Linked DNA regions of Drosophila melanogaster. The protein of the gene in region 1 interacts with the protein of each later gene in a pairwise test. Each region holds a gene or a part of one and is shown in the gene's direction. Other genes may lie near its edges.

The links. The genes of interacting proteins can lie anywhere in the genome.
Region 2: the proteins of Icmt (region 1) and CG31140 interact in a two-hybrid assay, tested with the Drosophila melanogaster proteins (one large-scale study listed by BioGRID).
Region 3: the proteins of Icmt (region 1) and CG13689 interact in a two-hybrid assay, tested with the Drosophila melanogaster proteins (one large-scale study listed by BioGRID).

What each region holds. Positions count from the first base shown.
Region 1 is NT_037436.4:13,016,584-13,020,205, forward strand, and holds Icmt (isoprenylcysteine carboxyl methyltransferase), read left to right. Parts: upstream 1-1,682; 5' UTR 1,683-1,797; coding exon 1,798-2,037; exon of another isoform or gene 2,038-2,104; coding exon 2,105-2,476; exon of another isoform or gene 2,477-2,527; intron 2,528-2,604; coding exon 2,605-2,892; 3' UTR 2,893-3,104; downstream 3,105-3,622. Other genes in the region: CG11267 (uncharacterized protein), read left to right, coding at 4-150; mRpL20 (mitochondrial ribosomal protein L20), read right to left, coding at 610-766, 821-1,029, 1,093-1,179.
Region 2 is NT_033777.3:23,961,587-23,966,237, forward strand, and holds the start of CG31140 (uncharacterized protein), read left to right. Parts: upstream 1-1,593; 5' UTR 1,594-1,637; exon of another isoform or gene 1,638-1,647; intron 1,648-4,213; exon of another isoform or gene 4,214-4,218; 5' UTR 4,219-4,651.
Region 3 is NT_033779.5:601,098-604,120, forward strand, and holds CG13689 (uncharacterized protein), read left to right. Parts: upstream 1-1,715; 5' UTR 1,716-1,773; coding exon 1,774-1,909; intron 1,910-1,976; coding exon 1,977-2,242; 3' UTR 2,243-2,465; downstream 2,466-3,023.

The sequences.
Region 1 (3,622 bases):
CAGTCCACTGGCAACCACATTCCCATTGGCGTGAAGGAGGGCGATCGTGTTCTGCTGCCCGAATTCGGTGGCACCAAGGTGAACCTAGAGGGTGACCAGAAGGAGCTGTTCCTCTTCCGCGAGTCCGACATCCTGGCCAAATTGGAGTAGATCTCGCCTCCGGACACTGTCTCACAATTCTATGAATTCTATGCTTTTTATTAGTATGTAACACACCCACAAACCCGAAACTAAAAACTACAATAAAAGCTCATGCAATATTTTTGTTTGCATTGCGCATGGACCGTCATTGAATAAATTTCGAGTTACTTGTTAAAACTAGCAGCACAGGTGTTTTGTCATTAATCACATTTGTCATTTTACTCGAAAAAATATTGGATTCATTCGCGGAAAAGGTAGTTGCAGTAAATAAATTAATGATTTAGTATCAAATTTCATTCAGCAAGCAGAAGTTACGAATTATGTAACTAAATGTAAATACGAATTCGGAGTTAAAAACTAATCTAAAGAACAAATCCCAAACGATTTTACTCCCTTCAAAGTGAAAATTAAAGATTACACGTTTAAAACATACAAATATCTATATTTGAACTCCTACTTAAGGCTATGTTAATCCAACTTCAGGTTGCTCAGTCCATAGACCTGGTTAAATGCCGATCTCCGTTTGATGTCTGGCATTCCCTCCACAGCTGCCCGCTCTCGAGAGATCTTTACTAGAGCTTCAAAAGATCGCGGCTCCCAAATGGCGAGGTCGGATAGGACTTTTCTGAAAGATGTTATAGGTTGTTAAAGGATATGGGAATTTTCCGGTGGTACCCACTTGTTGAGCAGAATATCGGAGCGCGCGAGGCCCTCTTTGAAGGTTTCCAGACCTACTCCATACTGCTGACAACCCGCCTCCACGCGTGTGCTCCACAGTTGCGCCATGTCCAGTTTCTTTAGCTTTCGCCCCTTGGTGGCATAGGCCAGTGCCCTATGGACACTCCGGATGGCGAAGGAGTAGACATTGCGAGTGCGGCTTCTATAATGCTGCAGAAATTAAGCACTAAGAGCTCATTATTTTTATTGTGGCCACGATATTCGGAAACATACCGCTGCCAGCTTGAAGATGCGTCTCTTCCGCCAGAATTCGTCCGGACCACGGGACCGTACCAGCAAGGGAAGGTTCAGGAAGACCATGGCTTGATATTAACAGAATATCGGTCGAGTTTTTATATATTTTTAATTGATCTCAACGACTCTACTTGTTATTTTACATAACCTGCACGGCGCTAAAATGAGCATGTTATCGATAAAATATCGATGCAAGGCGTGCAGTTAAGAAATTTATTTAAAAAGGTATAGGTGAATACCTACAAATGTAATTCATTTAAGTTACTATTAAATTTTTTCTGACTATATAAAATTAAATTAAATCCTCAGAACTCGATATGTCGATATGTAACAGTGCATAACTATCGCTTATTGTTACAGGGGGTATAGGCTAAAGAGAATTGCCCGCATAATTTATTTTTAAAACCATTTTCTGCTAAACGTGGTGTTAAATATTTATTTATTTAATTTAATTTATGATTTATGATTTATTTTATTAAAAGCTGTAAGAATTATATTACTGATTTCTATGATAATCACGAGCCTATACTTTAGCGGTTATTCACTGTGCTGCCTATCGTTATCGAAAGCTTTGCCGGTTTATTTACATTTTGGCGCATTAAACCAAGCAAATGTTTTAAAAAACCTCAATTTCCGTGTTTTTGCGCACAGCAGCAGCACAAAAAGAATCCCGATTCCCCAGTTATGTGTGCAAAGAGCCGAGTGGCTTCTCCTGGGGCCGGTGGCACCAGCCTGTGTTCCGAAGGCCGCATCAGTTTATATTGCTTTCTGATTACTGCAGCTCTAGTCCTGATTCCCTCGGTGCCCCAGAATCTTTATGGAGTGGTGCCACAGGTGTGGGGCGCCGTCCTCTGGGGTCCATTTTTGTACTACGCCCTTATTAACATGATCATACGGTTTGTGCTGCGGAACCACGACTACCAGGTGAGTCAATCGATGAGACGCGATAAACCTTATCAGTGCTATGGCGCTAACTATTCTTGCACCACAGGTGGCCATTAGGGCATCCTTCCTGGGCTTTGCCATGGCCGTGAGTGTGCTGGTCATCTGCTTTGCTCCCACCGAGTGGCAGCAATTTGGCGCCTACGGATGCTTCATGTCCCTTTTCCACTACTCGGAGTTCCTCGTTATCGCCTTTGCCAATCCGCGCACTCTCAGTCTCGACTCCTTTATGCTGAACCACTCTGTGCACTATGGACTGGCGGCGGCAGCCAGTTGGATCGAGTTCTCACTAGAGGTGTACTACCTGCCGCAGTTCAAGAGATACGGATACATTTGGGTGGCGGGCGTGGTCCTGTGCCTGCTGGGCGAGATGGTTCGCAAGGCAGCCATCATCACAGCTGGCCGGAGCTTCACTCACTTGGTTAGTCGTGATGATTTGTTAATACATGGACATATAAATATTATTGCACTTAAGGAATTATCACACTATTATTAATTAAAACTAACTAAATAGCTTGTAAACTTCTCATCACACATCTATTCCTACAGGTCCAGAATGAGAAACACTCGGAACACAAGCTAATAACAAGCGGGATCTACGCCTACTGCCGCCACCCGTCTTATGTCGGCTGGTTCTGGTGGTCCATCGGAACCCAGATCGTGCTATTGAATCCCATCTGCATATGCATTTACACACTGGTCAGCTGGCTGTTCTTCCACGATCGCATCTACGTCGAGGAGTACTCCCTGCTCAACTTCTTCCAGTCGGACTATGTGCGCTATCAAAAGCGGGTGCCAACGGGCCTGCCCTTCATCCGGGGCTATCTGGTCGATTAGTGCCTCTGATCTGGGGTTCAATGTCACAAGTCGCCATGGCAAACAAAACAAAATTCTATTTTAGGTTTAGGTATACAAGGTATACAGCAGTTCTCTTTTGTATAGCAAAAAAAAAAGATTTACAAGCACATTGTTTTTTCCAAATAAGTTTTCTAATATTTAGCATGTTGTTTTGTATTCATAAACTAGTCAAAGCATGTTGCTGAACTGATAATCTAATCTTCTTTTTTGGGTTAATTGTGAATTTATGGGCCGCATTAGCAAGCAAATGAAACAGCTGCGTGTTTCACAAGTTTTATTTAATGTTTAACTCGTCTATCTATCGTTGTTGATAATCTTATCTGCTGATGACTCCTCGTTGTAACTTTGGACATTGTAGTCGTATGCATTATTCTCCCGATTGGTATCTTATACCATAAATGGATAAGAAACCCAATAAATAAAAGGATGAGGAAATAAACCTCCTTTCACCTCTTATCTGAAAATCAATACAAAGATTTCAAGTTGTACAAAATGTTGACTTTTGTGTCTCGCTCGCGTGTCACTTTTGTTTTATTATCAATTTAAATTCGAATATTGCTCTATCTATAAGACACAAGCCTCACTCTCTCTATTTGTTCATGTCATTTCACATGTGTATGCTTTTGTATGTGTCTGAGTGTGGGTTATATGTATGTACAAACAATTATCAGTGTTAACAAAATCTTTTAGTCACTCTCATTTACTTAAT
Region 2 (4,651 bases), on another chromosome or scaffold:
TTTTCTGTGTTTTGTAACTGAGAAAAACAAGTTAAAATAAAAACCAAGTATTTTTGAAAAAAAAATCCTAATTGTACTCGTATGCTATATGAAAATGGTAAGACCTGGTGAACCTCAGTTTTCTTTTTAGTGTCTTTGTTAAACGTTTAGTTTTGATTGTTGTCTTTGCTGTTGTTGTGACTGACCAATTTGACTGCTCTAAACTCTTGACGCCCACATTGTTCCACCTCCACTGATCTGATCTCTGAGCTCCACTCCCTCTAAACTGTCTATCTACCTATATGTCTGGCTTAGCGCACCCGTTTGGTGTCCTTTCGTTTTTAGTTGCTACTATATACCACCCTTTTTCATAGTCTTTTTCATAGTTAGCCCCCAGTATCGATACTTTTATTTGGTTTCCTTTTACCCCAAGCGCTGTAAAGTATAGTAACATGTAACTGAAGCTAAGCATTCTCCCTTTCCAGGATGAGACCCCGCAGAGTTTCTTCGACGATCACGGCCTGGGCTAAGTTGGCTCTATGCAAAAGTAACGCCAGAAAGGCATTATCTATATTGAACCCATTTAAAGTCGCCTTAATTGTATGTGTATTTAACGTAACCCAAAAGTATACCGGTTCTATTGTAATTTAACCACCCTGTGTCAGCATAAAAAACATTGTGTATAGAAGTGCTGTTAAACCTATTCCTAATTTCGCTTGGCAAATGCAATTTGCAATACATTTAATTTCACAAAAAAGCATCAATATCGGTTGCTCACACACGTTCATATTTGTAAAGATTAACTTAATGATAAGCAAAGTAAAGCGATGCGATTAATCGACGGTGTGCTCAACTCTATAGTTGTAAGTTAAAAGCCCTATAAATATATAAAAATTGCTGTATCCAAAGTAACCAATCAAAACTCTGTTTACTTTATGCATTCTTTGCTGCAAATAAAGATGGTATCGAGCGTGAGAGTTTTTATATTTCAGTACTACTCTTTTCTGTTGGGACAATAGTACGTCATGGTTATGACGCGGAATAAGCACAAGAAAGTAGGCAATGGTTTTTGAAAAGTTCGTTTTTATGAGATTTTACTAACTTAAATTATAAAATATAAGAAAATGCATTTTCTTACTGATTTTAATATTGAATGTAAAACTCATTTTTTTCAAAAAACCTACATTTCTAACCTTCAATTAAGCCTTAATTTAAAATAATGGTCGTTCTTTGGGCCAATTTCCTCTCTTAGCTTGGCCACATTTATTTTGGGGCCAAGTTGGCAGCTCGCCGACCAACAAATTGTTGATTTCATTTTTATTTGGGGAGGGGGGGTCGCCAGAGAGCATCCTGACTGCGAACGAGAGAGATAGAGAGCGACCTGGCTCTCTCCCTAACGGGAGCTCCCCAACATTTCCCCCTGTTTGTTGTTGGGCACGCACGCACACAGGAATTCGGCGAACTCAACACACTCAGCGTCGAGCGAGAGGGCGCGATTGGCCCCACGGCGTGTGCGAGCGGGACGCAGCGAGAGCGCCAGGCGGAGCAGCGGCGAAGGCAGCGATAAAGGCGCTGCGCCGCGAGAAAGTTGCAGACCCGTCCGCAGAGCGCACCATCGTCTTCAGCGGAGCACACACAGCAGCTAGGTGTGCTCTTCCGTACGTAACGGTTGCGGATTTTCACTGGATTTCCATTTTCACACAGCCAGCACACAGGAAAATTCTCACACACTCGCAGCGAAAAAGTGCATAAAACGCGTGGAAAACTCGGGGGAAATCGCGATGAAAACTTGCGAAAAACTCGCTTTAACTCGATTGCTGTGCGTGTGAAAATTTTCCATCCGGTGAAGGAAAAAAAATTCGAAAGTGCGGCTAGAAAAGAAAAACGAAGGAAAAAGCAGCAGCGCCAGCAGCAGCAGTAGCAGGCAGCATTAGTGGCAGTGTGAAAATCGAATGTGCAAAATTTTGCAGCTTCAAAAATGTATGGTACATAAAATTTCTCTCTCCAAAATCGCGAGTGTGTGTGTGCGCGTGAAAATTACGTTGTCATATGTGCCAAGTACCAAGAGTTTTCCAGGCCCCACTTTCCCATCCGAAGCCAAAGTTTTAACAAATTAACTCCTTCGTGTGATTAGCAATGAAAATGGAAAAAGACAAGGCCACACGCACTCCGTCCAGATACATATATATTCGCATATATATACCAATCAGACATATATATATATACATACATATAGATGTGGTGGCAAGGAATCAAGCCGCGCCAGCAAAAGAAAGAAAGAAAAAAATTCTCTATCTATTGCGATTTGCTCATGCGGCCCGAAAAGAGCGAAGCGCGCAGCATTGGGTGGGAAAAGTGGGTGGCAAGTCCAGAGGGGGAAAGGGGTGGGGGCGTCAGTGGGCTGGGTGGGCGCCACTACGGGTACGAAGTACGGCTGCTTTGTCTACAGTTGTAGAGTGTGTGTGTATACACAGCCTCTGAAATCTATATATCTCGCTTTTTTGGGCCCCCCATTAGCATCCATAATTTTCCGTTTTTTCTGCTTCTGCGCCTCTCCCAGCCCAAAACAAAACAATAATTTCCCTAAGAAAAGCAAAGCCGCAAAGTTTTCATCACCCAACCCCCAAATTGCCGCCCGTTCAACGCATTTGTTGCAAAAATATTGCTCGTTGTGATTTATCCTTAAACTTGGCCACTTTCTTTGAAACGCTCCGTCGTGGTGGAGTTGAGTTCGCGCGAGCGAGTGTGGTGGGTTCCGGAGTGCGCATGTCGCCAGGACATCGCCTGGTGGCCAGGATATATGGACACGGGAAACGGGTCCTGGACATTCCACGTCGTCAGGCTGGCTCCAAACTCACAGTTGCGGTGCAAATAATAGTACCGTCAAGTCCAAGTTCACAACTCATTTCTCAAGTTCGCAGTACTTCTACTTCAAGGGTTAACAACTTTTTTTTATAGAAAGTAACTGCGTATGTGGATTCCAGTTTTATAGATATTCCTTGATTCCATCTATAATCTGCTTTAAGTCATCATAACTACTATAATTTCGTGTAGGTGCTTTTCTGCGCACACAAACGATGCGTTAATATCAATATTCGATAGGATCGAATATCGAACTAAAATTTGAGGGTTTTAAACAATAGGAAACTCATATCTTGTTGTCACAATAGATAGTTATAGAATTATGAGCTTAGGACATAATTCGATGTAAAATCAATGCTAAAAACATGTCATATACACTAAATAAGGACCAAGATCCTTGTGCTTGAGGGCCATTATGCCGACCTTAACTTTGCGTATACACACAATGCGGATTTGTGCGCCTTCCGTTAGCTATCGTTTATTGTCATCAAGTTGAAAACTTCAAGTGTCGTTACCTTTGTTTCCGTCTATTATTAGGACCTGTATGATATAATATTTGACTGGATTGTCCTTGGCCATACCCGCTGGCGGTGGGCGGCCTTTGGCTGGGAGGGGGTGGTGCTGGGAAAGTGGGTGGCGGTGGTAATTGGTTCGTCGCAGAACATGTTGCATACTTGAGGGCGCCGCAGCTATGGAAATTGATAGAATCGCTTTGGGTGGGAGAAATTGAAGCAATGCAGTTTGCTCTAGCTCCCTCTCTCGCTTTCTGTGCCACTCTCTCTTTCTCCTTTTCCCTATGGTTCCCTTTCTCCTTTTCCCTGCGGTACACGCTGTTGATATCATATTTTTGCCACTTCTATTATTATATTGATGTCTACTACTTTTTTATGATGCTCCAAGAATACTGGGAACTTTTTTACCCAACTCACCACGCATGACGCGTGCCTTCTCTCTCGCGCAGCCCCATTTCTCGCTCTCTTTCTAGCTTTCTCTCTCTCTCTCTCGCATTTCCCTGTGGAAACTCCCGCTCTTGTGGATTTTATTATCGGGAAACGTTTTCCTTTCATTTTTTGGCTCTGCTGTTTTTTTCTTTTGGGGTGTGCGGCGCCCACGTATCAGCGCAGAAAAGCGGAAAGTGGAAAAGCAAAGGAACGAGCGAAGTCGAAGAAAAACATTTTCCGAGCTGCTGCTGCTGCTGCGACTGTTCGTTTTCGGTAGTAGTAAAGTGAAGACCGCCCGCCGAGTGAAGTGTGCCTACGTGTGTGTCCGCGACTGTGTGTGCAGTGCTATATACAAAATTCAATTGGAATTTATTTATTTCAAATGGCACACATAAATTCTAACAAGCAATTATCAAATTTATTTTGTTTAGTGCAGCGCCAGAAATTGTAAATAATTAACAGTTAAAAACTCACCACCAAAAGAAAGTTATAAACGAAAACGCTTAACCAAACCAAAGATGCATGAATATGAATCAAAGCAAATATGATACATAGCCAATATGTATATAGAAACTAGTAAGGATAAATAAAGTTCAAAGCGAGGAAAAACACCGATCCCGACAAGCAAATGTCCGGATAAGGGAGCCGCTACCTGACCAATGGATGAAAATGCAGCCGTCGTCGCCGTCACTTTCGCCGTCGTCACTATCGCATCGCTTTTGTCAGCAGCAACAGGAAAAGTCGGAAAAGCACCAGCAGTACCAGCAGCACCAGGAGCAGCAACAGCAGCAGAAGGAGCAGCAGGATCAGAAGGAGCAGTCCTGCCACGCCCACGCCAATCGAACGCCCTCGGTCGGTACGGCAGCGCT
Region 3 (3,023 bases), on another chromosome or scaffold:
TCATTGCTGTTTTCAACTATATATACTATATATTATATTCTATTTGAGCATGATCCGCCATCCTGACCAACGTCGTCTATAAGTTTATGCTCTCCAAATCTGAAATTATTTCAATGTAAATTCGAATTTCCGAACTAGTTTACTGGCACCAGCACACGTAGGAACCACTCGAATTAAAATCTTTTTTTGGCTTCGATGCGCGCAAAAAATATGCAAAATAAATGCGGGCAAAAAATCGCTGGCCAAGTCCATTAAAAGGGAATAAGTGCGTGCAAATCCTGGCCGCAGGATGTTTTTCATATTATCAGAACGCATATTACTTCATCGGAAATGAAGAGCTTTCGTTCCCCCCGCTAGTTGCCAAAGTAAACATGTGTGAATTGCTCGGGAAAAGTGAGGGATGATGGGCGGGATGATGGCCATGATATCCATATCTGTATCCGTATCCATAACCATAACCACGCGCCTTTTTCGCTACACTAAAACCGCAATACAAACACACCCACACCCACTTAAGAGAACGGAAAAAAGAACGAGGGGCACAGGATATGTTGGATGGAATGTACTGTGCACCACATTCAAGTTGATCCCCTTGTAAATCTCTAAATTGTTTTATGAACATATTGGCCGGGAAGGTGTAAACCTAATTTTCCTTTATGAACCGGACGAGGCAGGTAAAGTGGAAGTGCATCCATACCCGGACTTTTTGTTCCGGCTCAGCAGGATGCACTCCATATCAATGTGCTCTTTGTTTGGCCGCCTCATTTAAATCGTACCGCTGGCCAATTTGCATTCGCACTACAGCCAAATTGATCCGCCCTAATCCCAGTTTTAGTTTTGGTTCCCGAACTTCTTCTTCGCTACTTCGAGCGACCGACCGATCGACCGAGATTTATAAGCGCGGGATTTGAATTTGCTAGAAAAACAAAACTCCTCTGCCTTTTCCTCAGGCTTTAGCCTTAGCCCTGGTTTGGCTATGTTTCTGGCTGGGATTGGCTTGGATCTGGATTTCGGTCCGATCCGGCTTGGCTTCTGCTCTGGCTTTAACTTTGCGCTTGCCCTTTGCCGGGAAGGTCTGAACCAGAGTTTTGAAGTCAGTCGGTTGACCGGAAAAGGCCTTCAAGGGGTTGGCCGCGAGGGCAGGGAAATATAAGGGTTTTATCATTTAAGAAATGAAGAGATTTTGTTGGAATAAGTAATTCTTCAAAAATGAATAAAATTTCATTTCATTAATTTGCGGCATAATTTCATAATTATTAATTATATAAATTTTGTAATATATTGTATTGATTTTTAAGACAATTTTTTTTAATATGTATCTATGAGATTCTAAGTTAGAAACAATAATTATTATATCTAAAAGTAACATGGTGGCGCCATCTGTTGTTCCCTGAAAGCCCCTGTACTTAATTTCCGGTAACAGTAATAAGACGCCATCTGGAGTTCGCGTTGTTTACAATCTGTACACACACTGGAATTAACAGCTGTTACAGTCCGATAGACGATTATTCACATCACAATCTTAAACTGCTTTTAAAAAGATATTATTTAAAATTATTTACAAAGAAAACAACCAATTGCCAAATCAAAATTATAATGAATCATTATTAAAGCGCTTCATATGAACCAAAATATATAATTCTGTGAAGCGGTCGCTAGATTTCAGTTTCTGGCCACATTTTGGATAATTTGGCAACACTGCAATCTTGTTATTGCTTATGCTGAGAAGTAAACAAAAGGCGACGAATGTTTGTATTTTCCTAATAAAAGCCAATGGAGGATTGGAAATCGGAGGAAATGGCAAGGAAAAGAAACAGGAATAGGAGCAAGCAGCGCAGACGAAGGCAGAAAAGTGAGGGAAAGCCGAAGCCACATACATCTCGAGATCAGTGGAGCAATGTGGCTCAAAGTAACAATAATAGTCATTAATAAGTTTTTTAATAGTGTTAACCATTTAAAATTCCCTGTTATTGTAGTATACCAAAGCCTTTTTGAATGGCACCACAATCATGTTATGAGTCTCTGCCCTGAGGTTAATCCGAATCTGGATCAGGACCTTGAGGATATTCCCAAGGAAACAGGAACGTTTCACTGCCTGGACTACGTGTACGAGAGTTCTTCCGAGGATGAGGAGATCGAACCCATTGACGAGGGCTATCTGAAGTTCCTCGAGGTGACCATTAAGCATCAGCAGGAACTCAGGGATCGAAGAACTGCCCAAACCACCGACTCTTTAGATTAGAATTTTGGTAAAATAGGTTTTTACGCAGATGAAAACTTACAGTTCATTTTTATCTGGTAATGACTTAAAAATGTATCTTACGTAAAATGTTATAATTTAAGCTCAAGTTTATAGGTTTGGTATTTAGTTTTGGTAAGCAGAAAATGTACCTTTTATAGGGGATATTTTTATATGTAGCACTTTGTCTTGAACGTATTAAGTATATAAGATGTTTTGATAACTTAATGTTCATACTTAGCCATTCTAACTGAATGCCTCAAAGGGCTAGAATCAAGACCTGCGTAGGACGAAAAAGCAACTGTACTTTAATTCCCGGAACTCTTCAAGCGGGAGACAAGTGTCTGATATTCTGCTTTTCTCACATGGTTCTCCACTAATGAAGTTGTGCGAAGTTGGCAGTTTTTTGGCCAAAGGAAACGCACATTAACCCGACCAAGACTAATGCGATGTCATTTATAATCGCGCTGGGAGAACCAGAAGAAAGCTTCAAATTGGGGCATGACTAAAAAGGGAGAGGGGCTTTTGGTAGGATGGAGGACCATTTGTGGGTCAGAGACAATGTCTGCTGCTCGTGTGGGCGTGGCAAGTTGGGCATTAGCCAACATTTTTCGGCACTTTTCAGCAGAAAACCTAATTAAGACGTCCGACTCTGAGTGGCAATGGATTTTCTTGGCTTACTTATATCCCCCATCCTCTCTCTCCTGACCAAGCTCCTCCGCCCCACGGAGCTCGTTTCCCACCTGCTCCTCATTCTCCACTGAAATCACGACTGGCGACGACA